Kluyveromyces lactis: one gene and its partner. The protein of the gene in region 2 purifies or fractionates together with the protein of the main gene of each other region. This does not show direct contact. Links are inferred from orthologs where the notes say so. Each region holds a gene or a part of one and is shown on either strand. Other genes may lie near its edges. The genes, in order: DBP10 and MAK16.

Evidence for each region.
Region 1: the proteins of MAK16 (region 2) and DBP10 purify together in Saccharomyces cerevisiae (affinity purification with mass spectrometry; 3 studies listed by BioGRID). This does not show direct contact. The link is inferred for Kluyveromyces lactis from reciprocal best matches to the Saccharomyces cerevisiae genes MAK16 and DBP10.

The regions. Positions count from the first base shown.
Region 1 is NC_006042.1:2,294,830-2,298,870, forward strand, and holds the start of DBP10 (ATP-dependent RNA helicase DBP10), read right to left. Parts: upstream 2,801-4,041; coding exon 1-2,800. Other genes in the region: SLM3 (tRNA-5-taurinomethyluridine 2-sulfurtransferase), read left to right, coding at 3,395-4,041. UniProt on the Saccharomyces cerevisiae protein: ATP-binding RNA helicase involved in the biogenesis of 60S ribosomal subunits and is required for the normal formation of 25S and 5.8S rRNAs.
Region 2 is NC_006037.1:355,080-368,404, forward strand, and holds MAK16 (ribosome biosynthesis protein MAK16), read right to left. Parts: upstream 5,811-13,325; coding exon 4,902-5,810; downstream 1-4,901. Other genes in the region: PRO2 (glutamate-5-semialdehyde dehydrogenase), read left to right, coding at 1-472; aminophospholipid-translocating P4-type ATPase DRS2, read right to left, coding at 545-4,576; mitotic regulator LTE1, read right to left, coding at 6,249-10,349; KLLA0_A04081g (uncharacterized protein), read left to right, coding at 11,890-13,325.

The DNA of each region.
Region 1 (4,041 bases), on a different chromosome or scaffold from region 2:
CCTTAACTCTAACACCTCTTTCCAAAGCAGCTTCCACTTTTTTCTTTTGGAAAGCGTAATCGTCTCTATGTTTATCAGGCAATTTAGGAGCTTTTTGAGTCTTGTGTTTGAATTTACCGCCAACCGTACGCTCCGATGGAGAAGTCGGATCAGCCAATAGATTCGATGGAATAGTGGATTCTCTTGCACCAACTTTGAGTGGAGCAATTTTTCTTGCCTTAGACCAATCTTGGAATTTTCCGGATCTGAAACTTGCAGGAATCTTTTGACCACTTTCTCCGATGATGTACTTTTTGTTGTCCAAACCTTGAGTGTTCACATATTTCTTACGCTTCTTGTCCCACTTAACCGTAGCTGTTTGCTTGTGAACTTGTACCTTGTCATCGTTGGCTAGATCAAATGCAGCATTGGAAGCATCATTTGTGAAACCAGATGATATCTGTAATTGTTTATCTTGAATGTCACTAGTTGGTGCGAAATGTGATAGATAAAAAGTTGGATCTCTGAAAGTTTTCTTCTGCTTCTTCTTAATATTTTCTTGCTCTTCTAACAAGACATCGGCATCTTCAAATTCTTTCAATACCTCATCAGGCACTGAGTAACCAACTTCGTTGTCTTCACCTTTCAAAATTTCATCTTCTATACTATGCCTCAAACCAATCATTCTCTCTTTTTCCAGAAGTTCTTGTCTTTCTTTTGCCTTCCTTTGAATTGGAGCTATTTGTCTCCTCCTTCTCTTCATTAACACAGACATTTCATCGTCTGGATTCCTTGCGAACTCGAATACAGTTTCCTTGTTATTTCTGTGTTGCAACTTAGCTAAGAAATCCAATTTCTCTTTTTCGGCGTTCTTACCGAAGTATATATTCTGTTCGTCCCATCCTGATCTGAGAATTTCCTTTGACCTTTTCATGGATTCAGCAGACGCTGGTGTCCTGGTTCTAAAGTAAAGTTTTTCGGCTTTCAGGGCAACACCTTTCACAGTATTTAACTCAAAGTCAGATTTGATCATATTGCTATAAAGGTCACCCATACCATCAATCTCAGAACGTGGACAAGCACCAAGGACCATTCTTGTGGTGTAAGAAACCTTAGGATCGGTGAAATTATTATTACCCTCAGATTCTGCCTTCTTTCTGAGTATCTGGCACGACGATTCATACATGGGTGTTAAAAGGATCTTCTTACCCAAGAATAATTCTAGATCCAAGAGATAAGGTAGTTCATTTTCAGAGACAATCGAAAAGGCCCAACCTCTATTACCAGCTCTGGCCGTTCTACCTACACGATGAATGAAAATTTTTGAAGAACCTGGCAAAGAGTAATTAATCACATTCGCTAACAAAGGAATGTCAACACCTCTGGCTGCCACATCTGTCACAACCAAGATAGATGTTAAACCAGCTCTAAAATTATAGAGCTGTTGCTTACGGGCATGTTGATTCAAAGCACCATAAATATATGATACTAGGTATCCACAGTTCTTCAATAACTGTGTGACGTATTCGACATGATGTCTTGTTGGAACGAAAACGATTGTTGCCTTTTCGGATGGCATTTCGTTCGCATTCGGTAAGCGCCTTTTGGATTTTTTAGCCTTCTTTGCCTTCTTTTTCTTTTCATCTTCGCTGTCATCACTGTCAGAATCCGCATCATTCTGCTGTTTGAGCTTCTTTATTTGGGACTCCGTGGCAACAGGCATCTTGATAGCTTCTTGTAACAGATATAATAGATTGGCTTCACGTTCATCCTTTTTTATAGATATAAATAACATCTCCAAATTTTCTGATATCTTCGTTTCAGCATCAAGTCTAACCAATACTGGGTTTGACAAGCCTGCCTTAGCAAAATCAACCAATGATGATGGCAATGTTGCCGAAAACAATAATGTTTGTCTATTAGTTGGGAATGCCACAAGCAGTTCATTCAGTTGTTCCTGGAAACCCATTTCGAATAATCTATCAGCTTCATCAAATACAACATATTCGACTGATTTCAAATCCAAGTTCATTTCAACTTTTAAATGCAAGAATCTACCTGGCGTAGCAATGACGACGTCAGGATTCCCCATCATCATACCGAATTGGTCTTCTAAAGAGTCACCACCTGTTAACAAAATAGAACGTAAATCCGAGCCTTTCGAAAACTCTTTGAAAACTCTATGAGTTTGAATGGCCAATTCTCTTGATGGTGATAAAATAACGGCTCTAACACCAATCTTGGCCGAATGGGTCTTTAATTTTTCTATCATAGGAAGCACAAAAGCAGCAGTCTTACCTGAACCGGTACGTGCCATACCGACAATATCACGCTTTTGTAAAATAAGGGGAATGGTTTTCCTTTGAATTGGTGTAGGTTGCCTGAAACCTTTCTTCGAGATATTAATCAATACTAGTTTTGAGAGACCGAAACTTGCAAACGAACCTTTCTTATGTTTAGCCGCAGCATCAGCGGTAGTGTTGAAATAATCGTTTAAGTCATCATCCGATTCATTCGTAGCCTTCTTTTCGTCGTCCGAAAGCTCAAGACTTGGGAACTTACTGTCCACAATGGGACCTGCCTTGACTTTGGCTTTCTTGTTTTGTTTCTTTGGTTTCTTCTCTTTCTCTTCCTCATCACTAGAAAACTCGATAACATCTTGAACTTCAGCTTGGAAACCAATATTGTCATTATCATCATCAGAAATGTCACTATCTTCACTATCAGCATTTAAAGCAATATCACCAGCAATGTCGAAAGCATCCTCATCTTCGGAGGAGTAATCTTCTGCTGGGAGAGCTCTTTTGCTAGAATCAACCATTACTGTTAAATTTGATTAACCTGAGTTCGATATCTAACAGTTGATTTATGGCAAACAATGATTGGCCTTATAATCAATACGATATAAAAGAATATTTAGCACTACTGATATTAATGAGTTACTATCTCATCTCATCTCATCTCATCGCATCTCTTATTTGGAAAGTGATGTATTTTCAAAATTTTCATAAGGAAAAAGAAATAGTTTTCAAGACCGGCATAAACAGAATTAAACATCAAACTGACGCTTTGTGTGAAACCAAGAAGATCAAGTGACCTAAAACAAAAACTTCAACATTATGTGTCACGAATATTACCAAACTCAAGTAAATAGAACGTCATACTCTAAAATTTTACTATAACTATTTCAACTTGTTTCCCTGAATTTCGCCTCTGTACATTATCTTGGTTTTTTTTTTTCTATGCAAGCCAATCAATTCAGTATCTGACAAAAAAAAGTACATGAAGATCACAACTATAACTTCTCAAGGTTTACTGAAATAAGTACCAGCTATATCTTGTTAAAGCACCATAAAAGTGTCCCGAAGGAGATGCACCACTTTATATAGCAGACGGACAGAAGTTGCGAGGAATAATGTCGAAAATCACTTCAAGATTCTTAGAATTATGCAAACAAAGACGGTTGCCTGGATATCATGTCCAATCCATGCCATCTAAATTTGATAATATTGTGGTAGGAATGTCTGGTGGAGTAGATTCTTCTGTATGTGCTGCATTATTCGCAGCTTACCCGAACGTTCATGGAGTATATATGCAAAATTGGGGCAAAGATCAATCATTGACTAGACCAGAGGAGGATCCATGTTATGAGAAAGAATGGAAGGATGCAGAAAAAGTAGCGAAACATTTGAACATCCCAGTGGAGTTTGTGAATTTTGAGAAAGATTATTGGCTAAATGTGTTCGCGCCTATGTTAGAACAATATAGTATGGGCTATACACCAAATCCTGACATCGGTTGCAATCAGTTTGTTAAATTCGGAAAGTTGATGGATCATCTGGATGTGAAGTTCGGTAAGAACAACTACTGGTTGGTGATGGGACATTATGCTCGAATACTACGAAGAGATAGTGGTCCAGAGAGATCTGAACCACACTTGATGCGCGGATTGTATCAACAGAAGGATCAAAGTTATTATTTATCACAAGTTTCTGTTCCTTCTTTAAATCAAATGATTTTACCAATTGGTCACTTGACGAAACCGGAAGTTAGAGAGATGGC
Region 2 (13,325 bases):
AGAAGTAAAGAAGCAATATAAGGAGCACAACAGTACATCAGATCATATTGTGGATTTAGACGAGTCCAAAGACTTCGACAAGGAATTCTTGTCGTTGGATATTGCAGTTGCATTCGTTGAATCTACAGAAGCAGCTGTTTTGCACATCAATACACACTCTTCCAAGCATACTGATGCTATTGTGACTGAAAACTCTGAAAATGCTGAATATTTCTTGAAAGCTGTTGATTCATCGAGCGTATACTGGAATGCATCCACCAGATTTGCAGACGGGTTTAGATACGGATTTGGAACCGAAGTTGGTATTTCTACTTCGAAGATCCATGCCCGAGGCCCTGTGGGACTCGATGGCCTTGTGACTTATCAGTATCAACTAAGAGGTAATGGACAAATTGCCAGTGATTATCTAGGGGCCGGAGGTAAGAAAGCCTTCGTTCACAAAGACCTTGATGTAAAGAGCATTTCTATCTGAAATACCAACATTATTTTCAAACTACTAAGTACGCATCTATATACATAATTACAACGTTACTGACTTCTTGACTCAAACATCCTTGAAAGGATTGGTGGATTCGAACGATTGGCGAAGACCCACATTGGAAGAGGGTTCGACTTGAGCCGGAGTATCATTGAAGGGATTTAGAGATGCATCGGCCAGTTCACCATGTACACCCCTCTTTAATGTGGTATCATACATTCTGATGATCCTATCTTGTCCACCCTCTTCGCTTTGCGAGAATGCAAAACCTCTTTGCTTTTTCATTCTTTGCACCTGTCTGACCTTTCTTATGGCCTTTTGAAATTGTTCCATTCTAGGTCTGTAATCACTGATATTGTACTTCTGCATTTCCTGAACGACATGATATGATTCAGGTGAATACGTCCTTTTATAATATTTCCATACGAAATCTCTCAAAAGAGCAAATACTGGCAATACGATGCACATCAACCAAAAGGTTGCTGAGCCATAAACATGGCCGATGATACCATAATACTCCTTGGAGACATTAACTCTTGGGAAAACAGCACTGTAGAAAGGGAAAAACAAGAGCCATATTACAAGAGAGCCAGGTATAGCCACCAACGTAAATTTCGTCCATTGACTCGTAATTAATGCAGCCTTGCCTAACACAATTATGATACTGGTGGTATAGATACCCACGCCCCAAACCCAGTGATCTGCCGTTTCGCCACCCATGTTCAAACAGTTACCATAACGATAAAATAGTACTGATCCAATGAAAACAACTGCGGAATGATAGAAACCATTCAACACCCAGCCCCAAAAGATAGTAACGGAAAAGAACTGACCTTTTTGTCCTAGCTTGTATAACTGTGGATAACGATCTAAAAGTCTGCTAGTCACAAATTGGTCAAAGATTCCTATAACGAACGGTGGCATCACAGTAAAGAAGACGTTATAAAACGTGAGTGTCCAAGATTCCATAATAGATTGACCTGAGAAAGCATTCGCGAACACGTACCAAAACTGTGTCATATACAATGCCATGTTTTTGTAAAATGAGTATAAAATGGCCAATGAAATTCTTTGATATGACCACGATCCATGCACTATTAATAATTTTCTTAAGAACCTAAACTGACCAATGGCGAAATCAGCCGATCTCGCTGCCTGCATACCTTCCATACCACTTATGCCTACACCTACGTGAGCAGCTTGAATCATACTCACATCATTGGCACCATCACCAATTGCCAATAACAATGAAGATGTTTTTCTCTTCACCATTTTTACAACGAGAGCCTTTTGCAATGGAGACACTCTACAGCAAATAACGGCCTTACATAGCTTACCAATTGTCAAAAACTGATCTTCAAGATCTTCCTCTAAAGCATATCCTAATGATTTACCATCAATCACTAAAGCTAACGAGTTCATATCCTGCTGTGAAATTTGATGTGACTCGATGGCATTCAACTTACTTTGGAGATTCGTACGCGTATCCTCCTTAGTTTCTTCGTTTACGATCAACAAATTCATATCTTCACTTAATAGACGACAACTCATACCAATATTGATTGCAGTTTCCTGTCTATCACCAGTTAAGACCCAAACTTTCAATCCGGCCTCTTGTAAATGGTGAATTGTTTCTGGAACACCTTCTTGAAGTTTGTCTTCGATAGCTGTAGCACCCAAAAAGAAAAGGTCGTGTTCAATCAGTTCGGCTGCCCTATCCAACTCTTCAGTTCTATCCTTCATAGTTGTGGATGCTGCTTCATATATTTTACTCCATTCTTCATACTCCTTTTCCGGAATTGTCCTACTAGCGATACACAAAGTCCTTAAACCTTCAGCAGCATAATCCTCCAAATGTCTCAAGGTTGATTGAACGTATGGATTAAATTCACTATCAAGCCTCTCGAGGATCACGGTATCTGCACCTTTACAGAATAATTTAATCGAACCATCAGGCATTCTGAAAATGGCGCTCATACGTTTCCTAGTGGAGTTAAACTCACAAATGTTGAGCAATTGATATTCAAGCTGTTCACTGAATGGGGTTGAAATGGAGACCGAGTTAGGTCTACGGATATCGAATCTGAAGCCTAAGTCTGCTGCACCTTGTACCAATGCCCCCTCATCAGGGGAAGCTGCTTGATATTTGATTGTTCCGTCACTTTGTGTCTCTGGGATCACAGTATGACAAGTAGCTAATAAGGTTAAAAATTCAATGACAATGCCTGCTTCATCATCCTCAGGATCTGTCATTTTATCCTTTAGACTTTCAAAGGAATGGAAACCTATCTCAATTCCATCTTCTACAGTTGCACGTCTATCTTCAGGAATAGTTTCAATATAGCACCTGCCAGCAATAGAAACAGACTTGAATTCCATTACATTTCTCGTCAAAGTACCAGTTTTATCACTGAATATGTACTCAATTTGACCCAATTCTTCTACCAAGGATGACGTTCTAACAACGGTAGGTGTATCTGATTCCTCGTGATATAAGTCCAAGTCTGAACCTATCATATAAGCTTGGTAGTACTTTATCATTTCAACTGTAACAAATAAGGAAATGGGAACAAGGTTAGAGAATAAAATCCAGAAAGTTAGTATGTCTTTGAAAAACAAGCCAGCTTTATTAGTACCTTCGATATATAAATATCCGAGGTGAGCAGAATCCCTTTTCGTCATAATGACATTACCAGTGGAGGAAATCAAAGCTAGAACAATTAAGACACCAAACAAGGCAAGAATTTGCATATTAATGACTCTTTCCACAGCAGTACGTTTAATTGGAGTCGCAGTGGCATTTCTCATCAATTTGGTTTCGTGACCAGTGAAAACTATGAGGCCAAAAATCCAAGCAGTATTTCTCAACGTAGCACCTCTCAACAGCATTTGATCCGGAGATAGAGGGAAAGTGCTACCATTTAGCGTCATTGTACCTTCATAAGTATATAAACTGGAATTTGGGTGCTCTGACTGTACCCTTCCATGAAGTTTACAGAGAGCTTTTTCATCGAGGTAGTTTGCTGTTTCTTGTCTCGCCTGTTTAATCTTTAAATTGGTTTCACCATCGAGATTGGCTGTTTCAATGTAGCATAACCCTTCTGGTTCCGAAGAGGAAAGAATGATCAAATCAGCAGGAATTGCTTCCTCAGATCTAACTCTTATAATATCACCAACTGCTATATCAATCCACTTTTTCCTCACAAACTCTCCAGATCTTTCGTCCAAAACATCACACAGGGAATGATTCAATTCCTTATCAGCATTCGATCTTTTCAAATCTTCGACACTTTCTTTAACTGCAGAAACAATTAACACTACTAATAGTGTACCAATGGTCGTATATCTATTGGTAGGTGTAACATTAGGTACTTGCTGGATAATGGAGGTGAATAAGAAGAACAAATTCGCGTATTTGGAGAATTCTTGAAACAAAAACTTTGGCAAGAAAGTTGCAGCGTTATATTTCGTCGTAGAGATGTGATTATCTCTGTAGCCGAAACGGCTATTTGCTGAACTATCGTTGAGTAAAATCGTTCTTGGCTCGTCAGACTTACAAGAGGTTTTCCCTTTTCTGAGAATATACCTGTTGAACAAAACTTTGATGTCAAACTTCCTCGTAGAGCTTTCATACCTATTAGTGTTGCTCTGATCGTAGTCATTCATTTCGAAACTTTGGAATTGACCCTTATGTCCACCATTCATACCGACTGCACTTTTCACATTGCTCATAAATCTATTGAACCCACTTGGCTGAGGTAAGACACTATTCCTAGGGTTAGTGTCTGCAAAGGATGCTGAATAACGGTCATTGAAAGGATTTTCAATGTCGTTCTCTATGTTGTCACTGAGGTCAATGGTCTCTTGTGGGAGTAAGCCTCTCTGTGAGGTATCCATTCCTGAATCTATTACTGCACTTGGGCTGTTCCTTCTTGGACTATCCCGTAAATCCGGGGTGTAGCTATCATCAAGAAAGTCAACATCAAACAACGCATCGCTGTCGCCATGCTTAGTTGAGCCACTCATTGGAAAGCAGGTTGATCGGTGTGTCGCTCCTCTCTGGCTCTGTATCTCCCTTTCAAAGTACTTGGGTTTCATGGTGCAAATGGTTTACGAATCTTTCTGTTTAATGTGTCCTAATGGGATTTTCCGGTATAATTTACAAAGAAAAAACTGTCAGCATGGAAACAATATTTCCACGTGACTGCTATTTCGAATGCATTATTTGGGTACAGTATAACAAAATGAAGGGAAAGGGGACATACTATTGATGGTGAGATGCTATTGTAAGTGTATATAATTATTAACTATTGCCTTTGCTTCTTTATCGTAGTTGGAAATTTATCTTCAATAAATATAATAATATGTCAAATTTAATAGTATACAAATGTGGTCATGACGAGCTCTGTTTTTCAGAAACGCATCATTGTGCAAGTTCTTGTTGGTTGGAATTTAGTTCCTGTTCATATTCGATTTCAACCTTAGGATGTCTCTTTCTGGTTTGTGTAGATTTCTTTTGTCTCTTAGATGGGTTTTCTTCTTCATCGCTATCTTCGTCGCTACTGTCTTCGTCACTGTCCTCATCACTGCTGTAATCAGATGTATCAGAACCACCGAGCCATTTTTCTAAATCTTCCATATCTACCATCTCATCCTCAGCGTCTTCATCTTCTACGAATTCGACTTCTCCCTCATCGCTTTCTTCTTCCTCATCCCAATCGTTTTCTTCTTCATCCAAGTCCTCGTCTTCTACACGTCCCATGACCTTCTTCCAGATCTTTTCATCCACATTCAAAGGCTTATCACCATACACACCACTCTTCAATCTCTCAAGCAATTCTTTTTCGATAGCCTTTTCAATCTTAGCGGCTGATAATGCCTTACGTTCTCGGTTCTCTTCTCTTCTTTTCACCTTAGGAGCAATACCGACATAATGTCTCTCCTCCTCTCTCAATGCCAAACGTCTCTCTGTAATCATCACTTGTGTAAGCTTTGTCATCCTTTGCTTACACTTATGAATTAAGAACTTGTTCCAATACAGTAAATGTTCATCGATCTGTGCTAATGCCTTTGTGTAATTCTTAGATAGTTTCACTCTTTCCCACAATTTAGCAGGCGTGTGAGCTCTTTCCGCGGTCTTCATGTACAAGTAAAGTGTTCCGTCCACGTTCTTTACAGTGGCATATTTACTATTTGCCAAAGGACACGCTTGTCTCGAACATAAACCTGTTACGTTGTATTCATTTCTACAGAAGTTCTGTCCCTTATCAGTTTTGACTTTGTACGCACAAAAGTGCTGGTTGATAACCTGCCAAATGATCTCGTCAGACATCTGCTAATGTTCAGTCAATCCTACAGATACTGGTTTATGCTTAGTATGAGTTTATTTAAATTGGTTATGACTATCGCTAAGTTTACTTGCTATTCCGCTAGTCGCTGCTTCTTTCATTTCATCTCATCTCATCGCATCGCATCGATATTTTTCAGTTCTCAAAAATTTTCAGGCAGAAAGAGAAAAAAGAAATGGATTACTAAATTTTTAGTCACATGACCAATGATATTTTATTGTTATAATCGGAAACTTAATCAAGAGTCGGAATATGCATGATTAGATCTAAAGAGATTAACCTTCATTCAAATATGTTCGAAAAAAATGTGGATGAAACTATTTGAAACTGATAAAATCGTGTGTTGATATATATATTATATGAGGTGAAATGAACTGAGACTAACTAGTTCTATGTCAAATACTTTACTCGACATTAAAGAATTAAATTGGGGATTTATGTGAAATTGAATTGATTTCGTCATGGGACAATGATGTGATGTAAACACACTTGCTTAACAACTCATGGTCAATATCAATGTTGTAAAATTTGGACCATTGCATCTTCTGTACGAAGTTTTTCACTATTTGAACATTTGTTTGGAATTTGTTGTAATTTAGCACTTCGTCATGTACAATCCAGGTACGTTTCTCAATGTTTAAAGATAGATCCGATAAGTATACCACGATAAATGGAATGCATCCAGAAAGTGGTTCGACTTCGTCTATTAATTGTCTAATGTTACTGTAATTCTTTTCCAGGGATGGTATGGCCTTCAACGTTTCCCAAGTCAATAGATCGCCTGGTTCGACAAGTCTCCATGTTTCAGTGAATTTCTGAACGACAATGGAGTTTAATGCAAGGATGATTTCCATCAAAGTATTGTAATTTTGTAACTCTTTACAGTGTTCGGCTATGTGAATGAATCTTTGGATCGTGTTCCTTCTCAACCTTATGTCCTGAGTCATTACGATTTCAGAAATGATCCAATCCACGGTCAAGTTGAACCTTGCTATGGCTAAATCGATACCCGACAAGTTTTCGTTCTGTACCAATAATTGCAGCCAACTGGTAAATTGTGGAAGTTGTTCACTCATTGTCAAATCCAATAGATCTTTCCAATCAACTTCAGATAGAATTTCCTTTTCAATCAAGGTCAATTGGTTTGCCACAGATTTAGAATCATACATCAGAATGAACGGGATATGTTGCTCTAAATTGTCTATTTTAAGCCTTGAATCAGTTAATGTGTACTGGTTTAACAAATTACGAATTTGTTCATCAGTATTTTCCAATCTGGTGCAGGAGGAGTCTTTGTCAATGAGTGAATCACGAACGCTAAAATCGATCATTGTGTTGCGTCTTCTCTGTATGAACATGGATTGCCTTTTGCGAGCGCTTTCAGGAAGAGCTGCAGTTTGTACGATTTGGAAATTTTCAACTTCCCGGGCTAATTCGCTGTTAATTGATGGACTTTTATCATCTATTTCCTTTTCCCCTTTATCATACGTCCCTTCTAATTTCATTAAAGCAAGATTAACAGGATCCATAGAAGTATCAGCTGTGTCGTCAATACCATTCATAATGTCCTCTAGTTTCTTTTTATCAATTCCATGATCTTTATTTTCATTATCCTGAGTAGCAATCTCCTCTTCATCTAACGACGTTTGCTCATCAGTTGACTGGTCAATAAACTGTTGTTTTAAATCGTCGAGGTTCTTTTCTGGGGATGCAAAATCTATGCTATCAGTGTCTGGGGAAAACAGGTATTTGTTATTCTCTGGATTCAAGTTTTCAACGTCTTCCTCGAAAATGTCATTAGTTGCCTGTTTTTCTAGATGATATTTCTCTCTCAGAGTTGTGGATTGTGCGCGATTTGGTTTACTAGCAATCGACGTGAGATCAAAGGATTCTTCTGAATCACGACTTCCTATTGACTTTATACTTGGAGTCTCAGAAAGCTTTGAAATAGGTTGTTTGCATAATACTGGCGTAGGGACATCGGGATGCTCCGATTTCTCTTGAATGACATCAACTTCTTTGATTACCAATTTTTGGGGTGAAGCTTGGGCAGAACTAAACAGCAAATTTGTGGAGATGCTTTGAGAGTCCGAGTCGTTACATACTGAACCTCGGCTGACTGTAAACTTTCTGTCATTATCATTTAGTAAGAGAGATGTCGTCTCTTCTAATTCCGATATAATGTCCTGGTTTGCAGCCAAAGCTTTATCTCTTTCGATAAAAACTTCATTGCCCAAAATGAGAGGAGATTTAGGGAGAATGGACCTCAAAGAGTTGGGAGAGGCAACACTGTAGTTTCTTGTTATACTAATTCTGCCACTTGTGGGTCTTCTAATTTGGGCGTTGTTTTGACATTGGGTATCAATTTCAGACGTACTTTCTTCATATGCAGTTATTAACGATGCAATATCTTCATTTTCGTTTTCATACTCATCTTGGATAGCATTATCATTTGCATCACTTTCCATTGAAGTTGCACTCGTCTCCGTTGCTTCTCTATTTTGTGGTGAACAGGATCTGTCATCTGTCGAATCAGATTTCTCGAAATTGAACCTACGAAGGTCATTAACATTCAGCTTTCTTTTCAAAGTTGGGGCAGATTCCATGAAAATATTACTACTCCCTTTATGTTGACTCAAGATATTCCCAGAAGATGAAATATCTGAAAATGCAGAGTCATAAGTGACAATAGAAGTAATAGAGTCTCTTTCACCGTTATATTCTCCTATGTTGTTCAGGTTATTTGCAAGTATGGCCTTCTTTGTAGGAGAGTTCCTTGTCGGATCATGGAAAACCAATCTTTTTGGACTGCTGTTGTCATTGGTATTAGGTAGTCCCATTAAGGCATTCGTGATGCTGTATCTAGAATTATTGTAAGAGTACAGCATTGGTGCAGAGTTTCTTATATTTTTCCTCTCAAGGGCCGAGGTTGAAGGAGATAACAGATGGGTAGTTGACTTGTTTGTTCTGACATTCAAAGTTTTAGATAGCGATATCACTGAGTTAGCGATTGATGAAACAGTTTTGTAAAGGTTAAGATTATCAATAACACTATAATCCTGCGATTCATCCTCATTTGTTTCCAACTTAGATATTTCAGTGGTTAGTTTTTTAGCTTCTAATTTTGCTAAAAGATCACTTTCCACAGAAACAAGATATTCTACCTCATCAATAGTTCTTGCACTCAAAATATCAAACATAGAAGAAAGCGAATCGGGCAATGGATTCGCATGATTGTCCAATGAAGAAATGGAAAATACATATTTTATTAGATTTTCAACCCTTGGTGGGTTTTGGACAGGATTTACAGTTGGTTTTCTTTGATGATTTAATTTCCATTTAGACAATAGACCCAGTATTCCTTTGTGATTTGTGTTATTGCCATTTACGGTATTCGTCGAATCTGAGCCATTAGATTGTTCTGGAAGATCTGTTTCCATGTACGACGTCTGCAAGATAAACTCTATATTCTTCGCTGGTGTTGGTGGGACGAAGATGTCCACTGAAGGGGTTGAAGGGTATTCCAAATCTTTCATCATATAAGAAACGTTAGTGACCCTGGACAACTGCGGTAGGATATGTTTGTTATCTTTCGAATTCTTGGGGTCTGTTATTTCTCTCTCCTGTTTCGGAGTGGCCTCTGGCGAGACTCCTGAAGCCGTTAGTTTTTCGTTAATAGAAAGTCCGTTGGAAGCATTTTCTGGGAACAAAAGCATTGATCCAGTTCTCTGTTTGATACGTGTGCTCTGTTTCTTGGATTCATCTTCTGATTGTTGTGGTAGAGGTATCTTCTCTCTGGTGTGCAATAACGAGAGTAAGGATTCGTTCCTGAGTACCGGGTTGTTTATATTTTGTAATGCAATAAAGCTAAGTCGCTTCCCCTTCGTGCTTCCTTCACCTGTTTCCGAAGAAGAACCAGACGGTACGTCCTCTATTTCCCACTTGAGCCAATCATCGCGCGATACAACGTTATTTTCCACTATGAGATTTTCTAAATCCTCCCACATAATTTGAACGTTCTGAACCCATAATTTTTTTAAACTAATTATAATATTGTCCAGGAACCTGTCAACTGGAGAGTATCCGTTGATGAATTGAAGGAATTGACGACGCAACGACGTGTCGACGACAAAATCTTGTGCGAAATAGTTAGACAGCCAATGCCTTACCAGCACAAACATCCGTACCAGTATAACCTCGGATGTAATTTTCTCTTGGGAACTAGGGTCAGATTGACGCAAGTCAATCGCCCATTGGAATCTCTCTTGAATTAGATCCAGCAATTTCTGAGAACTCATGAAATTTCTGTAGACTAGAAAGAAATCCGTCAGCATTGAATAGTCGACTTTATCTAGCGGCGATGAGAGCTGCACTAGAAGTGCAGGAAGCGTACATTTAAGAATTCGTACTGTACCATCGCGTAAATCTACAGTCAGTACACTTTCACTAGGCACAGGGTACAATTCAGGTCGACTAAATAACGGCACAACGTTTTCGTCAGCCTTTTCAACGACCTCAGACATAATTTCTACTTCACTAGAGTTCTCTCCTCACTAGGCTCTTCTTCTGTACTTTCTTCTTCAAATTGTAAAAACAGATCAACGGTGAAAAGAAAAGATAAACAGTTCTTGTGGTTCAATGTTCGATGCGTTATACCAAAACAGGAAAATATTGGTAAAACTAATCCAAACACTAGGCGGGTGCCTCAAAAAATGATACGCTCACTCCACTCTTTTTCCCTTGTTTTTTTCCTTGTCTATCTTGAATCTCTTTCCCACTTTCGATTCTTTACTAAAAAAACATATTATTGATATTTTGGTTCTCATGACAGAATCACCATTGTTTATGTTCATTTTTCACAGAATTTCGCCGTATCATCGGTGCATTTGAGGTTTGTAGAATGCCTTTCGAGAAGTTTTGAGTTGAAGTCTGGGTAATGAAAAACATTTCCCAGTCACGTGGATGGAAACTGGATTGTATATCTTTGTCCACGTGACTGATATTTTCCCCATGCTCACTTCTGGTTCTCTTTCCCTCGTTTTGAATTTTTTTTTTTTTGGGTTGTCAAATTCCCGCCGCGCATTCTCCGGAATAAATGGTTTAGGTTGTTATCTTATCAATCCCTTTGAAGAAACAGATGATTAAACGAAGTGCAACCATCATGAATGCAGGGTTATACCTTTTTTGCCGGGCAGAATTTAGAGGTAACAGTGAGACAGCAATAGGATAACTTGTTAAACTGAACTGTCCGGTTTTTTCCTTTCAAATGGGGACCTCACAAGCAATAAAAGTCCGTCATAATAAGACCGTTTTCAGACAACAGGGCCCAAGATAAGGAGAAACAGCCTGGTTGTAGTTGGAAATATGTAATCGGTATAGTTTTTCAGACCTTCATGTGGAATCCTGATATGGGATTCGAGGGGACAGCGAGTTGCCTATTTGGGAATTGAACAGTTCTTCATGCACATGCTTTCTTTCATGCTGATGTGAGCACGAGTGGTAGTTTGACCGGCCCCTGAGATCGCTGTTGATTGCATAACAGTGTTTTAAGGTTATAATGGTCGTTTGTTGCTAGCAGCGTGCGTATTTTCAGTTTGTTCCCCTAATTATTTCTTGTTCCAGTGTCAGATAGGGTTTGAATTTTGAGCAGTCGCCTGTTATCTGCTTATGCATTTTCGTAGAGTAACAGTGTTACCTTAATCTCGGGAATGATATTCGAGGGTGATAACGGACCTGTGATCAAACACTTAAGTTTTAGTTTAGTACAACCACAAAGGTTAAAGTTCAATCGCTCTTCACTTCCAATCATAGTGATTTTTGTTTGTTGGCGGGCTGATATGACGCTCTATGATGATAGATGAGGAGAGATACGGTATATCATTTGAGGGTATCGCTATAACTCGACTGGAAAACTTTTGGATATATAAGAACATGGTTCGGTCATTCCAATCGATCAATATTCCGTTTGGTTAAACTACTTAACTCATTTTTTTAAATCACAACCCTCAGCAAGCTTTTCCTTGACTGAAAAGATTAAGGTTAAGATAGTTTAAACATTACAAGATGACTTCAGAAATAAAAGAAAAAGAACAATTTGAAATCGGCGTCGTTGGTGACACTGAGACTGGATCCATCGAGGTTTATGATGGAGAAATCAAAAACGTTAAATCACAACAATTGGAAGGTACTGAGCATGCTGTTGGCCTTGATCTCTTCCAAGAAGTTTTGGACAGTGACTTGAAATACGATGACAAAGAGTACTCCAAAATCAGACGTAAGATTGATACCTGGTTATTACCAGTGCTTTGTATCACATACATGCTTCAGTTCTTGGATAAGTTATCGTTGAATTATGCTTCTGCATATTCCATGAAGGAGGATCTTGGTCTTGTTGGGAATGAGTACGGTAATATTGCCGCTATCTTCAATGTCGGGTATTTGATCGGTTCCATTCCAGCAAACTACGTTATTCAAAAACTTCCAGTGGCCAAATACACAGGTGTCGCCTTATTCGTTTGGGCAATTTTGTTGATTGGACATATTGGAGCTACGAACTACTCATCAATGATGGCATTGAGATTCTTATTAGGATTGATGGAAGCATCAATCTCTCCATCCAATATGATGATGTGTGCCATGTTTTACAACAAGAGAGAACAACCATTCAGAATGTGTACATTTTTGTCTATGAATGGTGTAGCGACAATGGTTGGTGCGCTATTGGCCTACGGGTTGGGTCATGCCACTAACACTTCTTTGCAACCATGGAAGTTGATTTTCTTGGTTTTCGGCATAATGAATCTTGTATGGTCCGCTGTGTTCTTGTACATTGCACCTGACTCTCCAGCTAATGCTAAATTCCTAACTCATGAGGAAAAATTGAAGGTCATCGACCACGTTTCAAAGAACCAAATGGGTATCAAGGATACTAAAATAAAGCCAGATCAATTCAAGGAAGCCATGCTCGATTTGAACAGTTGGATTTTAGCGTTCATCGGTTTGGGTTGCGGTGTTATTAACGGTTCCACATCCAACTTCATTTCCTCTTTGATTAAAGGTTTCGGTTTCTCTGGCTTGAATGCAACTTTGTTACAATTACCTACAGGTGCCATTGAATTGGTGGTTGTGTTTGCAGCTGGTATGGTTGCCCTATTCACTAACAAAAACGTCCGTGTTATCCTATTGTTCTTGACATGTATCCCAACCCTCGGAGCTTTGATTGGAATCAGATTAATCCCATTAAGTGAAAAATGGAGTTTGGTAGGATGTTGTTGGTTATTGTACATCATTGGTGGTCCAGTGATTATGTGTTGGGTCTTAATTAATGTTACTGTTGCTGGCTCATCGAAGATATCTACAGTTAAGATCGTATGGTTTATTTTCTACACTGCGGGAAATATCTGTGGTTCCAAGATCATGTACGCTAACGAAGCGCCAAGATACGACTCCGGTATGAAGGGTTTGATCACCTGCTATAGTGGTATGATGTTCTTGTGTAT